Linked DNA regions of Caenorhabditis elegans. The protein of the gene in region 1 interacts with the protein of each later gene in a pairwise test. Each region holds a gene or a part of one and is shown on either strand. Other genes may lie near its edges.

Region 1 (8,185 bases):
ATTTGACAAAAGAAAGCGCGCGATGGAGTAAAAATACGGATTCCTTTCATCATGTACACTGTGAAAACATGAAGAGATTTAGAGCACTCCTGATTTGAATTTGGTTTGATTAAGAGCGGAAATCTAGTAGCTCTTCCTCTATTTCTCGTATTCTTTTTTTCTATCTTGATTGGCAATGCATACGTGTCTTTTCCAACTAGTGTAATTAGCAAAATTAGACGAATGAATCGAATCCCAAGAAGTAGCACTGGGAGGGACAAGAAACATATTCATAAAAAAAAATCCGGAAATTGAAGCTTATTGGGCAAGGCTTTGAAAAAGTGCAAACATGTAAAACAGTACGCGCGAATGAACGTTTAGCGTAGCAAAACAAATTACCGTATTTCCTCTATTCGTCTTGCAGCCTCTATTAGTCTTGCACCCCTACGGACCAATCGAACAATAGTATTGCAGTCTCTAATAGTTTTGCACCCTCATGCTAAACTGTTTTTTAAAAGTATAAATTTTGTTTGTGACTACTGCTCTCTTTTTAAATGGTTCATCAAACAAAACATCTTATTTTCTTTTTTTTTTATTTATAGTTGTTTAGTTAGTGGGTGATGCTTAGCGTGAAGTAGAGTGATGATTTGTTAAAATATTATCTTTATACACTTATCTAAAAAAAATTGAGTATTTTAAAATATTTTAAACTTTGTTAGTGTATACAACTGGTAGAAAATTTTGTGCAAAGGTGCCTAGTTTCCTACCTTATAAATTTTCTTAGATAAAACAGACAAAATAAAATAATATTTTACAGCAATTCAAAGTTTTCCAATCATTATTGAATGAGAACAGGTGAAAATCACAAAATCGAAAAAAAGCACCTGGAAGCATACAATCATTCCAGTAACTTTCAACGTTTCCAAGAAATTATTACAGGTGATATATGTTGAAGTTGGAAGGCATCGATCACAGACCACATGCGATTGTTGAAACGATAAACATGATCAATTAGTAAACCTTTCTAAAACCTTTAAACACTGAAATGGTATTTTTCTATTAGTGTTAATTCCGACTGATTTACTTTGAGGTGAATATCTCACTTTAATGTTATCATGTAAACTACAAACAGTTAAAAAAAAACTAGCACATATTTTGATAATTCACAAGTTTTCAATAGAACAAACAACAAATGAGGTGTAAGATGTCAAATTTGAAAAATTGGGGGCAATACTAATAAAAAATAAGGTATTATAAAAACCGAGAAGAAACATAAAAATGTTTAATAACGTCACTTGTCAGGCATGTCTGGGTAATAAAATCAAATTCAGTTCAAAATTTTAACCGGAAAAGTTAACTTCCAACTCATCGAGCTTGAGGTCAAAACCTAAAAGGTAAAACTAGACTAGATTTCTATAAACCTAGATTTCTATGTTACTTTAAATGATAATTCTAGGAGTTATAGTCCGGAAAAAAGAAAATCTTGAGAAGGCTGTCAATAATGAAATTTTAATTAAAGATATCTACAAGGATTTCGAAAGTAGAATGCTAGTCAAGAATTTTTCATTTCAAGATGAACTTCCACACTGGAAAAAAAGAGGCTAAAACATTATTTTTCAAAAAACAAATTGCTTTACGATTCGGTATTTGGAATGTAAGATCACGGGTCAAAATAAAGTTCCAACCGGAAAAATTCAATTTCCAGTCCATAGAATTTGAGGACAAATCCCAGAGAACGTGTTACGACTAGACTCAAAAAAAGTAATAATAAATTTTGAGTGGCGAAGGAAAAGTGAAAAAAAAAGTTTTTCTTGATGAAGTATAAAAAGCATACACACAAAAAAATAAGAAAATAGAGAAAAGTGGGACCCTGATGATTTCAAAAGAGAAAAAAGGGGAAGAAAGGAAAAAAGAAGGGGGAAAGGTTGAAGAAGGGTAGGGGGTCGCCAGATGCAGACAAATTTGGTTTTGAATAATTTTGACTCTTTCTCTCTCTCTGTGCATTGCTTTTTGCTACTTTGCAGCCTCTTTCCAACAATAGGTACATCATGTGAAGAGAGTGTGTGAGAATATGTGTGTGGGTCCCCTTCCGAAATTTCACCGACCAATCCCACGTCATTTTTCGTTTTTCTGCTCATGCTTCATCTTTTTGTTCAAAACCAAAACCAAAATCCAAACACCTCCACGGTGGTATTCAACTTTTTCAAACAACAAAATTAGTTCCACTTTGATACGCTATGGCTAACAAATTTTTAGCACTGTTGCGTTTCGGTAAAAAGACCATTGCATTTACTAACCTGTAAGTTAACTGAACAATGTTGAAATCTTCTGAAAACCTGCTCATAGAAGAACCTTAGAACCACAGTAATTAACTTGTAATTTTGAACAAAAAAAAACAACAAGAGCTAATGTTTTTCCTTTATTCAGAACCTTTATCTGAACAGCTTCTACAGCAAACAACTTACACAAATAAGAAATTGGAAATTTAAATTTTCAAAAATTCGATCTGCCATAGACCTTATGAGTTTTGTTTAACTTTAAAAAAACTTGTAACAATTTATAGCTCGTCGAGATATGGGACGAGTGATGTGCTTCCATATGCAGCCAACGAGAGTTTTCCATTGACACGGGACAAGGCCTGCAAAAAATGTGCATTTTTTCATTGAACTCTACCAGCTGCATTAGAGTTTTAGTGTTTCAAAACGAGAGTGGAGAATTCAATTAGTGAAATTGATACTTTGAATGCATACACATACGCACTCATAAATGTTTGATGAATTGCAAATTGAAAGCAGTGTTTTTTATTGAAGCCTAAATCGCTTGCAGTTGCAGATAGTGCGAAACAAACCTGGGTGACGTCTTGGGCAGTGACTGCGCGGATAGCGTCGGCGAATTCGCGTGGAGACACCTCTACTCCGGCAAGCACTTGAGTTGCCTTCTCCAATGCGACTTCAGATGCGTGTTGAGCGTCGGAAAGAACCTGGAACAGAAATAATTAATACAAATTTCTATGCTGACTTCTATCATATATTTCCATATTTCAGTCATAACATATCCCATATTTGAAAGTTCGGATCACGATTTTCAGTGTTTAATATCTCAGCAACGACTCTTACTTGAACGGCCGCCGTGTTCTTGGCGTTGTCAAGACCATCGGCTTTTGCAGACTTGATGGCAGAGGCAATAGACTTGGTGACTTGAGTAATCTGTGTGTTGCAGGCAGCGAATTGAACTCCGACGAGTCCGGAATCCTGGTAGTTGACATTTACGGAAATAGCCTCTGATGTGACTTTTTGAGCGGCGTTCAGAAGAATCTGGGCGACTACGGCTTGGACAGCAACATCCTTGACAGATGTGATGGCGGATCCTTCTCCGGCAATGGCAACGTATGAGCGATTTCCACGACCATCCCTAAATTAAATTTGATAATTTACTTTTGTAAGGTTTGTTTGTAAGCAAGGCAAAAAAAAATTCTCACTTGCGGGCTTCTCCTCCAAAATATTTAGCTGGGGTAGCCTTGGCGGGCTGGTTCTGGGCCAGTGGGAATTGTGTGCTTCCGGCCTGGACCAGAGTGTCATGATCGACGTTGACACCGACCAGAACAGCTTCACCGGCAACGAGTCGTTCCTTCTGAAAAAGAAAATATTGGGTTGAAAATTGATTTGATATGTATATCAAAAACAATAGAATAGGTATACCCAACGTAATTTTTTATTAGTGGCAGTTTGCCCAATCAACTGGAAAAAACACGGAAGTCCGTCTTGTGTAAGCTCAAACTTTGAAATTCGTCAGTAACCTTTCAATTTTTCCGCTGCGGCCTACGATTTTTCTAAGCAACAAAAGGTTTGGAGTCGAGCAACATCAGGAGTTTGTACACCGCCAAATTTTCGAAACGTTTTCAGATTCTTTCAGAAATTAATTATTGGAAATTATTTTAATACATGCCGTTTTTAATCATTTTCAATACTATGAGCAACTTTAAAGTCACTTTAAAAAATCATTGCACAATTTGCCACAAGCTCCAAGTTTTCAATTTAAAACTCACAGCAAAAGCAGACAAGTCCTTGGCAGAGACGTTGTTGACGCTGTAGTTCGAAAGTCCGAGTCCTCCATTTCTGAAGGCAGCCTGGTGAAGTTGCTCGAAAGCGATGGTGGTTCCGGTGAGGTATGTGGCGTCAGCTGGAAGAGTGTCGTGCTTAACATCTTCAACATCCCATGGCTTGAAAGCATTATTTCCGAGCTGTCCGAGAAGTGAGAGGACCACTGCGGATTGGTCACGAACGACGTTGACTTCAATAGCGAGCACATCACGGTTGGAGACTGCGGTCTGGAATATTTTATTTTTACTAAATCAGTAACTTTAATACATATTTCCAACTCTAAAAGTAAGTAGTACTACAAACTCGTCATCATTAAAACAGCTGGTACAACTAAAAATGAAAAACATTACGATACCCTCACAGATAGTTAGGTCGCAATGCATTCTTTTAGTGGTTTTATTATATTTAATGAGCTCTTTTTATCTCAAAATACTCCCGCGTCTCCTTTTCTATCATTCACTTTCTCTCTTGCTCTTTTGAGTTCGTACCAAGTTTCCTCCATTCTGAGCTGTATTCCAGACAAGCGCCAACCCTGGGAAGTTTGGAGCATCGCGGCCAACACTGTTACGGATAAGGTGGGTAAGTCCTTGCTTGTTGGCTGGTTGGTAACGGCTTCCGGCGCGGAATGCCAAAACAATTGAAGAAGTGGCTCCTAAACAAAAAAAATGATTTTGTTAATTGATTTTTGCTATGCTTTGCTATATCCAACGCCCACATACCGTTTAGTTCAACGCTTGATACGCGGAGACCATTTTCCAAGACAGTTGTCTTCTCTTGAACTCCAGCAGATTTGGCTGCAGCCGAGACGAAGCGCTTCTGAATTTTTTTACTTTTTTGATTTGTTTTAATCGAAAAGTTCATATTTTTGCTCATAGAAATTCGGAATTAGTTTTTAGCTGGGTAAGAAAAAACTGCAATCTAGGCATTTATCAACTCTCACCAAGGCAGGCAGAACATTTCTTCTCAATTGAAATTCAGTTTTCTGAAAACGATTTTCAATTATATCGATGAAAATTTCCCACAAACATTTTTCGAATTAAATACTCACCGCAACAGTTCCAGATGGGCGCGACAGCATAATTGTAACCCTGAAAAAGCAATTTTTTTTTCTTGGAAAAAAGCGAAAATTAAAAAAAAATATGCAAAAATAATGTTTTCAGCAAGTTTTTATGAATTTTCACTAATTAATATTAATGGTTTTGGTATCATAAGAAAGATAATTAATTTTTCTATTTAAGTTTACAACATTTCTGATAAAATATAAAAAGTGAGCATTAATATAAGCTGAAAACAATTGGGCGGTCGATAAATACGTGCGTCTCAGCGGGATGCTTTGTCAATAGAGCGCGCTTGCAGACCTGCGGCCGCGGCCTAGCGAGAGTGTGACTAGCCCCCAAGTGTTCTGTAGTTGCTTGGAGTGTGACGTTTGCCAGTGGGTAATGAAAGACGCAAGGGAGTATATAAAATATTACGGGCGTGTTTCATAGTGTGACCATTGCGAAATTGAAACTTATTTCAAAGCGATAGTGTTTTGAGGCATTGAGTAATGCACTTGAAAGGTAATTGTTTATCATTTTTAAACTTTATTAGCAATTCATTAAACAATTTTCCACATTGTTTTCTTCCTATTTATATCAATAAATATGAGACACTGTGTTTTAGCAAACAATAATCTCAGTTCGATTGAGACTATGTTTTCTACAGTGCGTCCAACTTCTATAGCACCCCCCTCCAATTCGGCCGTTTGGAGCTTTTCAAAATATTTTCGGAAAAGTGTTAGTGCAGTTCGATAGCAAATGTTGAAAAACCTATGCACCCCAATTTTTATCATGATATCTCAAAAATCACGGAAATTAGGTCAAAATATCTGAAAAATGGCCGTCCAACTTCTATAGCACCCCCTCTGATTTTTGACAAATTTCTGTAAATTCGGGGTTTTCTTCGTAGTTAATGAATTTAGTTTGTAAATAACTTCACACCAAAATAATCAGGTGGTTTCACTTTCACATTTAAAAAATAAATATAACACTTGAAAACACGTGGAATGCCTGGGATTGTCCTGGAACGTTCTTATTTGCTTCAGAGGCCATATCTCGGCTCCCAATGATTTTCGCAGCACCAAAATTGATCAAAATGTTCTTCTCCGTCTATTCATTACTATGTAATTAGTTGTAGAAAGCATTTATTCATATGAACCAAATGGTAAAAGGAGCAACTTCAGTGGTTTTTAAAAGGTTCGATTTAACCATGACAACGAGCGTTCGGAGGCGCAGAGCTGAAGGTTTTGACTTCGTATTGTACAGAACTTCAGCTCATCCTGCTCAAATGTCTTTGAAGCTTCGATTTTAATTAGAAGTCTTTGAAAATTTATACGGAAAAGATCATGAGACCGCTCAAAAAAGAGGACAAAGGCAAAGCGAGGCCGCAAGTCTTTTTTTCAAGCTAACATGCGAAAATTTTAGACAGAAAAGTAAGATATACCTTTCCGAATGACGATTTTGCTAGTTGTATTTATAACTCAAGTTAAATTTAGCGAATTCGCTCATTGAATCTTTTTTTGGTCAAGTAATGCAAAAGCTACCAGACAAAACATTGAACCTGCGATTGTAGATGTCTGGCATCTGAGTTACCCATGGATTTCCACGGATTTGTTGTTCATATATAATAATTTTTAATTTTTGCTATAATGTAGTAATTTTTAGTTGAAAATGTATTCCCAACCATTATCTCTGCGCCTCCGAACGCTCGTTTTCATGGTTAAATCGAACCTTTTAAAAACCACTGAAGTTGCTCCATTTTCCATTTGGTTCATATGAATAAATGCTTTCTACAACTAATTACATAGTAATGAATAGACGGAGAAGAACATTTTGATCAATTTTGGTGCTGCGAAAATCATTGGGAGCCGAGATATGGCCTCTGAAGCAAATAAGAACGTTCCAGGACAATCCCAGGCATTCCACGTGTTTTCAAGTGTTATATTTATTTTTTAAATGTGAAAGTGAAACCACCTGATTATTTTGGTGTGAAGTTATTTACAAAATAAATTCATTAACTACGAAGAAAACCCCGAATTTACAGAAATTTGTCAAAAATCAGAGGGGGTGCTATAGAAGTTGGACGGCCATTTTTCAGATATTTTGACCTAATTTCCGTGATTTTTGAGATATCATGATAAAAATTGGGGAGCATAGGTTTTTCAACATTTGCTATCGAACTGCACTAACACTTTTCCAAAAAATATTTTGAAAAGCTCCAAACGGCCGAATTGGAGGGGGGTGCTATAGAAGTTGGACGCACTGTATGTAAGAATGTTTTTTTGAAACAGAACAATTCCACTATGGGGACCGAAAAAGTTGTCATTTTGGCAGTCGGGTCATTCAATCCTCCAACAAATGGACATCTTTGCATGATGGAGGTATTTTAGGTATATCATCAGTTAACGTTATAATTAAACAAATTTAGGATGCCAAGTACTCACTAGAAAAGTCAGGAAAAATAGTTCTCGAAGGAATTATGAGCCCAGTCAGTGATGGTTATGCGAAAAAGAGTTTGATCAGCGCTAAACATCGGTAGGTTAACTGTGTAATGCGACAATTCAAAAAAAGTTTATACACAAAAAAAACACAGAAAACAATATTTCCAAATTAATTGAGTTACTATGTTCGCAATAATATTTAATTCAGTTTTTTGAAATCAGAAAATAATATGTAATTTTATGTAACTGAACACAAAAATATAATTGCAGTCTTGCACAAACCGAAGCAGCAACTTATGATTCTGACTGGATTCATGCAAGTGGTTGGGAATGTGCCCAGTCTGAGTGGACTGCAACTGTTAATGTTCTGAAACATCATCAGCAGGATGTGAAGGCAAGTTTATTTCTTTTCGATAATCTTTGAAAAATACATCGCTCAAAATTTTTTCAAAAATATATTTCCCAGGAGTGTTTTTCAAGATGAGTGGGCAAATTTTGGAAACCATTACTATGTTGCTAGAAAAATTGATTGAATGTTTTTATTTACAGTTAAAAATGGAAAATACTCAGTTTTTCTTAGTCGACCAAACAAAATAGACTCATATGAGTATATCTAAATAAAATGCCA
Region 2 (7,337 bases), on another chromosome or scaffold:
TCGATGCACCATGACATAAGGGGGTTAGCGGTAGGATTCCTGTAGCAGAGAGCTAAAGGAGCACTATTTGGCCAGCAACCGACAAAAACGAGGCTTCACTTTTAGTATCAGGTGTTACTATGTACATCTATCTTCTCCCGCACCCTCCCTCAAAACTGATACCAAACCCATTCTGATCGATGCACCATGTCATTGTGAGATTTGCTCAGGCTTCTGTAGCAGAGCTATAGGAGCAGTATAAAGCCAACAGCCGACAAAAACCAGGCTTAACTTCCAGTATCAGGTGCTACTCTCAAAAAACCCCCCTGCACAATAAATCACTGGAACCCCATTGACAAAAAGAAACACTTCTGCTGGCTCCCCTCCCCCGGTGTAATGGCAGGATTGACACCTGCGCGATGGGGTGGTGGTGGTGGTGGACAACATCAAAAATCTTCTTCTTCTTCCTCCTCTCCTATCATCAAGCTTTTGCTTTTTCTTGCTCTCACATCTTGATTGGATTACACACACGTACACATTGAAATCCTTGTACCCCCTCTTTTCAATTTTCTTTTTCATGTTCTCAATTTCAATATTTTTACTTATTTTTCACACCCTACAATCTACAAAGTTGTTCCCAAATTAGCTGCGATTTGAGCCATTGTACTAGGACGTAAACGGATGATCCAATTTTGAGTTGAGCTTTTACTATTGTCCAAAAGGAGTACACTCTCCGAAATCTTTTGATCTTTTTCCCCTTCTCGAGAAATTTGATCCAACCTTGCACATGCAGATGCTCAATGACCTTATCATCTGTTTCTTCCCTTTTATTCCCCGCCCGCCGGTTTTACGAGGTTCACCCCTTGCCTCCCCAAGCAAAACTGATGTATCTCAGCGGACACGCACTTGAGCAGAAATTTGTTAAATAGTAAATTGTAGGAAAATGTTTGGGCTACAAATTGTTAGTTGATAAATTTTTTATATCGTCAAAACCAGTAGAGTTATGACGGTTTTACGGCAAAAATTTGAGATTTTAGGTGAAACAATTGAAACATTTATATCTCTTTAGTTTTGAAAATTATGAAAAACTTGTTAACTGGCAAATTGAAACCAATTTTCCAATTTTTTAGGCAATATTTTGCTAGTTGGCAATTTTTTGATAGCTCCCATGGTTACTGAGAAATAGGTGGTTCAAATTATGGATATCCCTGTACCCGTGAGATGTCGGCCGCAGCGTGGAAAACACGATTTGCAGCGGACACTTTACTGGCTTTTACAAAAACTCCGCTACCGCCCGCCACCGCCTGCTGATGCCCGCTACCGGCCTGCTACAGCACCGCTACCGCCCTGCTACAGCACCGCTACCGCCCGCTACCGCCCGCTACCGCCCGCTACCGCCCGCTACCGCCCGCTACCGCCCGCTACCGCCCGCTACCGCCCGCTACCGCCCGCTACCGCCCGCTACCGCCCGCTACCGCCCGCTACCGCCCGCTACCGCCCGCTACCGCCCGCTACCGCCCGCTACCGCCCGCTACCGCCCGCTACCTCCCGCTACCGCCCGTGAGGTGTCGGCTGCTTTATTAACTTTTTCATTTTCATATGCGTCTTGTTCTATCAAGCTTTGTCGCATAAATTCCGCTCAAATTTCCTGAGGGTACATCTTTTATCGCCGACCCGCACCACGACCGCCATGTGCCATTTGTCTCGATAGTTTTATGAGAAGAACAAGCACTTTCCATGTTGACATATGTCATTTTGCCACCACCACACACACACACATATTGATGATGAAGACGAACTATTTGTTCGTTTTCCGATATCATTTACTGCTTCCGCCGCCGTGTTCCTAGTTTTCGGGAATTTTTTACTAAATTTGACATACAAAACTGCTCCCTTTTTGAAAAACTCGGCCACACCATCACTATATAGTCTCAGCTCATCACAGATTGGCGAGATTCGAATTTCGCGCGCTTCTCACATTACCAGGGCTTTCGAGTGGGGTGGGTGATATTTGAAAGAGATGACCACCGCCACTATTATAGTTAGATTTTGAGATGAGGAGTACTAAAATGCATGCAATTTTGGACTCATATGTATTTTGTATTTGTGATTGAAAAAATTGTATATCTAAAAAATGACCCGAGTTATGATTCTTCCCGCAAGTTTACTTTTTTTTTGAAAAATTTATTTTTCCCTCACTTTCTTCGCCTTTTTCTCATTGTTAAGTCGATTTTTATTGTTTAAAATTTATATAAAAATATAGATAAACCAGTCGTTTGAATTTTCCGCCAAAATTGGTTTTATCAGAAAATTAAAATTCCCGCCAAAAATTTTTCTCAGAAAATTTAAACTCCAGCCGATATTTTTCTATATTTCTATTTAAAAAAAAGCCAGAAAAAATTAGCAAGCTTATTAGAATAATAGGATTTTTGAAATTTTCCTACCCCGACTCTATTTGAAATGGTGGCCGAGTTTTGGTTTTTTCGGCCACCACCCAAAAATTCTGGTATAGTACTACTACTACTACATAATATTGTGACCTCTTTCAGCTTCTTCATACATACACTTTCTCTCGCCCCATTCTTCTTATTCTCATATATTTACGTTCCATTCTATTCATTCACTCTCTCGTTTTACCCTATTCACCTTTTCTCCCAATACGCTTCGTTTTTTTTAAAATTTTCTGCAATGATGATTTTCAGAATTATTTGAACTATTGACGTCTACAAACACACGCCTGGGACTCACACAAAATGCCTGACGCCTATATGATGGGCTCGACGGCAACGCTCAATGCTCGTCGGCAGTACAGGTGAGAATTGGGCAAAATTTAAATATTTTTAAAAATTTATAAAAATTAGCTCAATTTTACCGGCTGATATCTCGGTTGTTCCAAATTTTCACAAAAAATTGTCAACTAAAAATGTTGCCCAAAAATTTCTGAAAAATACGTCAGTTGGCAGCTTTTTAATATTCCTAACCATTTTGGAAATTTGCTGGTTTGAAATTGGGTAGTTTTTTTTCAGGTAGAAAATATGTTCGATTAGCCTAACTTTGCCGGTTCATATCTCGGTTGGTTTTGGTTTTATCAAAAAATTGTCAACTAAGAAAAGATTTATTTAACAATTGTCTATATTTTTGTAATTAAAAGTTTATTGATATTTTCAAAATGAGCTGAGATATTAGTAGTATAAGTAGTAATGGTGCTCAAATCGGGCAAAATCAACAATATTTCGAAAAATCGCACAATTTTTAAATTGAAAAAGATATTATATAGAACTATTACTTGTTTAATGACAATAATATTCTAACTTTAAAATTTTTTGTTACATGCCTACGTGCCTACCTCATGCCTGCCTTTCAGTTGAAGTAATTTTTTGAATGTTCAACACTGAAACAGTGAGAAAAAAGGGACCAGGAAGTAGGGACGAGTGTAGGCCTGCCTATGAGGTATATACTGCCTGTTCATGCCTGCCTGCCTACCACCTAGTTTCTGAACATTCGTAAACTTTCCAATTAAATGTTTTGTTTAAATACCTGTTCAACTAACACTAAATATAATCAGGAATGATTTGTAAGTAGGCAAGAGTGTAGGCAAGGTGTAGGTACAAGCCGCCTTGTAGGTAGGCGTATGTCGCAGGCCTACCTATGCCTTCCTACCTACCGCCTAGTTTTTGCACATTTCTCAACTTTCCAATTAAATATTATTTTTCAAATATCTGTTCAACTAACACTGAATATAATCAGGAATATGTGTAGGCGCAGGCCGCCTTGTAGGTAGGCGTAGGTCACCTTGTAGGCAGGTAGGTAGACAATTTGTAGACATATACCTTCTTATAGACATACAGTTGGAGGCAAACTGCCAATTCAGGTTCTCTCCCGATTTCTCCCAATTTCCATTTAGCCACCCAAATGGCATGACAGTTCTCGAAACTAATTTTCTTTTTTGTTATTATATAAAATGCCTATAATTCTTTCATTTCTCGACGTGAAATCCAACGTTTCAAGTTTTCTTAAAACTGATTTTTTTAAAAATATTTTTTGTTGGAAAAATCAAAATAATAATATTCTAACGTATTTTCCTCATTTCCAACTCTGATACTTTCCGACAAAAACAGTTTTCCGAATCCACGTTGGCATGTTTGGAGTATTTCGCAATCCAATATGTTTTATGAAGGCAAAAGGGTTAGTTTTTTAGGGTTGCGGCATGGGGAAATTTGCAGAAAAACATGTAAAATGTACTATTTTGAAGCCAAAGAAAACATCTTAAAAGTTGAAAAATAGTTCCAAAAAATTTTAAACTTTCAGATCGGTTGCATTTGGCACGTGGAAAGTGGGCGGAGCCAGGAATATGACGGAGCGAAGGTCCGAGGAGCCACTTTCAAGACTGAAATGGTTGGTTTTTGACTTTTTTTTCTTAAATTTTATCGTTTGTATGCTAAAAATGTACTGAGAATTGAAAAATAGGATATCGATTATTTGAAACAAATTTTTTAATTCAAAAAAAAAAAATTCCGAATCGATTTTGATTTATTTCAAAATATTTTAAAATTGTGTTGGAAATTCAAAAACAAGTGGTGGTGCCAGGCTGCCCCCCATTACGGCTTGATCTACAAAAATGCGGGAATTTTTCGCCCAAAAAATGTGACGTCAGCACATTCTTAACCATGCAAAATCAGTTGAGAACTCTTCGCGTCTCTTCTCCCGCTTTTTTTGTAGAAATATGTAGATCAAACCGAAATGAGACACTCGGACACCACGTGAAAAAGTTTAATGTATTTAAAAATTAAAAAAAAAATTCTGTGAAAATTGAAAAACCGGAAAAATTTTTGAAAATAAAAAAAAAAAATTAAAAAAAAATTCCAAAAAAATAAATAATTCCAGAGTATTGTTTTAAAAATTCGTTTAAAAAATCCTAAAAATTTAGAAAGTAATGAAGTTTGAAAAAATGGAATTTTTTGAAATTTCGGTAATTTAAAAATAAATAAGTGTGAAAAAAAATCAATTTTTATAAAATTAAATTTTTTGGCAGTTTCAGCAATTTTTTTGAATGTTCTAAAACATATAAAAATCCTGAAATTGGTGGCCGAATTTTCTCCATCATCGGCCACTCTAAAAAGTTTCAAAAGTTTCGAATTCCCCCCCCCCCCCCCCCACTTCGGAACACGAAGCGCATTTTAATGGTGGCAAATAGGATTAGGTGGATAACAATGGGATTGCCCCCGGTTGCCTGTACAATCCTCTTTTTTTCACGGCAAAAGGTAATCCCAGTATCCCCCGATGACTGGTTTTCTCTGCGTCTCCCCCGTCCACCCTCACACTATCGGGGTCCATCCCGTACTAATTGGCCATTTCCATGCCTATTCTTCTGCTGCTGCTGCTGCAACCTGAATCTACAATTGTGTTTCATTTTTCCAGTAGTCGTACTATGTTATGTGTTCATTTCTTTATATATATATATATATATATATATTGTCTTCTCTGCCCTCTTCGTCTGAAATGAGGTGGAACCGCTCTCAAATAAAGAAGACGGTGATTGAGTGGTGGAATTGACGTGATGAATAAGGAATTTTATGAGATTGGACCTAATTTTGTATGGAATAGGTTAAAGGGACATTAGGGGTTTTGATCTACTTGGGTTGGGGGAAAAAGAGCAATATCCTGTGAACGTCCAGTCCTGCCGGGCTTCGGTTTTTTTTATAGAAAAACCGAAAAACGAAAACTTTTGCTCGAAAAAGTGCAATTTCTGCTGTTTGCCCCCCGAAAATTGAAAAATCGGAAAAAAAACGGCCCGCTACCGCCCCGCTACCGCACCGCTACCGCCCCGCTTTCGCCCCGCTACCGCCCCGCTACCGCACCGCTACCGCACCGGCAGTCTCTAAGTCGCTCATAGACTCTTAGTAACACTCTCAGACCTTTACAGTACCCTCTTTCCCCAAAAGTAAATCAAATTTCCCTCCCAAGCCAATTTCAATCGTCCCCAATCACATTCTGCAAAACGGATGAAGATCTGAATGGACAGTGTCAGATAATCATCGTCGTCATCTCAAGTTAAAAAGTGCGCGCCTCCTCCACCATCACCATTTTGTCCTTGAATTTGAAAATCTAACGGGGATGGTGAAAACGTCTCAAGGTTGTTGGATGTGCAGCTTAATTAGGGGAGCATGAAGGACGTGTGAATGTTGCCAGGCGTGCTCGGTCATGTGGCACTGATTCGGATGATATTTGAATTTTTCAAATCAATACAGTACTACTTTCGAATTCCCCGCCAAATTCTCCCACATAAAAGTTTCATATTTTTGCAATAATGTGTTCAATTGATGGCATATGCACACACAAAGTGAAAAGCACACACACACATATGACAGACCACCTCCCTTTTTAAAAAGTGAAACACTTTCACTCGCCCCGAAGACCGTTCGTTTCCCCCTATCCACCACCCAAACAAAAAGCGAGACAAACAATGAAACTTGAGCCCCCCCTCCTCTCTTGAGCCTCTCGGTTTGGAGCATTTTTATTCGAAATCCTTCTAATCGGCCCCGCATTAGTTCACTAATTGAGCTGACTGGGAAAGGAAATGGATCGTATTTCGGTGTTTTTTTCGGGAAAAATCGAGATTGACTTGGCTTTTTTCTAGGTCAATATATGTTTTCCTATGATTTTTTAAGGCACCGTCCAAAAATGACCTTCTTGACTGGGCCCGTTCAGGCTTATTTTTAGCTACGTTTATATTTGTCCAATTTTAAAAAAATTGTTTCCTTTTTGTAATCAAAATTCTTGATTTTTCTGGAATTTCTTTTTTCTCTCATCCTCTCCTCGCCCAACCTCGGCCTAATCCGAAGCATAAGTCTAAGCCTAAGCCTAAGCTTAGGCCTAAGCCTAAGCCCAAGCCTACGCATAAGCCTAAGCCTAAGCCTGAGCCTAAGCTTAAGCCTAAGCCTAAGCCTAAGCCTAAGACTAAGCCTAAGCCCAAGCCCAAGCCTACGCCTAAGCCTAAGCCTAAACCTGAGCCTAAGCAAAAGCCAAAGCTTAAGCCTAAACCTAAGCCTAAGACTGAGCCTTAGCCTAAGCTTAAGCCTGAGCCTAAGCCTAAGCCTGATCCTAGGCCTAAGCCTAGGCCTAAGCCTAGGCCTAAGCCTAGGCCTAAGACTAAACCTAAACCTAAGCCTAAGCCTATGCCTATGCCTAAGCCTCGTCACCCGGGCCTGTCCAGATGCTTTATCTAGGACCATGTTTGTCGAAGTATAGCCCGAATTGTGCCCGGAAGTTGTCCCTCTAGACTTTGCCGGACACCCCGTAAATCTACACAAAAATGTAGATTTACGTGAAGGGTGGTAGCAACCCATCTATTGACAATT

What was found. The genes of interacting proteins can lie anywhere in the genome.
Region 2: the proteins of ucr-2.1 (region 1) and ZK131.11 interact in a two-hybrid assay, tested with the Caenorhabditis elegans proteins (one large-scale study listed by BioGRID).

Annotation. Positions count from the first base shown.
Region 1 is NC_003284.9:12,015,411-12,023,595, reverse strand, and holds ucr-2.1 (Peptidase_M16 domain-containing protein), read right to left. Parts: upstream 5,168-8,185; 5' UTR 5,158-5,167; coding exon 5,128-5,157; intron 5,062-5,127; coding exon 5,020-5,061; intron 4,896-5,019; coding exon 4,799-4,895; intron 4,732-4,798; coding exon 4,568-4,731; intron 4,307-4,567; coding exon 4,025-4,306; intron 3,610-4,024; coding exon 3,458-3,609; intron 3,391-3,457; coding exon 3,096-3,390; intron 2,960-3,095; coding exon 2,828-2,959; intron 2,618-2,827; coding exon 2,537-2,617; 3' UTR 2,390-2,536; downstream 1-2,389. Other genes in the region: nmat-1 (Nicotinamide-nucleotide adenylyltransferase), read left to right, coding at 7,420-7,497, 7,545-7,651, 7,828-7,951.
Region 2 is NC_003280.10:13,789,548-13,796,884, forward strand, and holds the start of ZK131.11 (TORC_N domain-containing protein), read left to right. Parts: upstream 1-2,681; 5' UTR 2,682-2,732; coding exon 2,733-2,791; intron 2,792-4,287; coding exon 4,288-4,374; intron 4,375-7,337.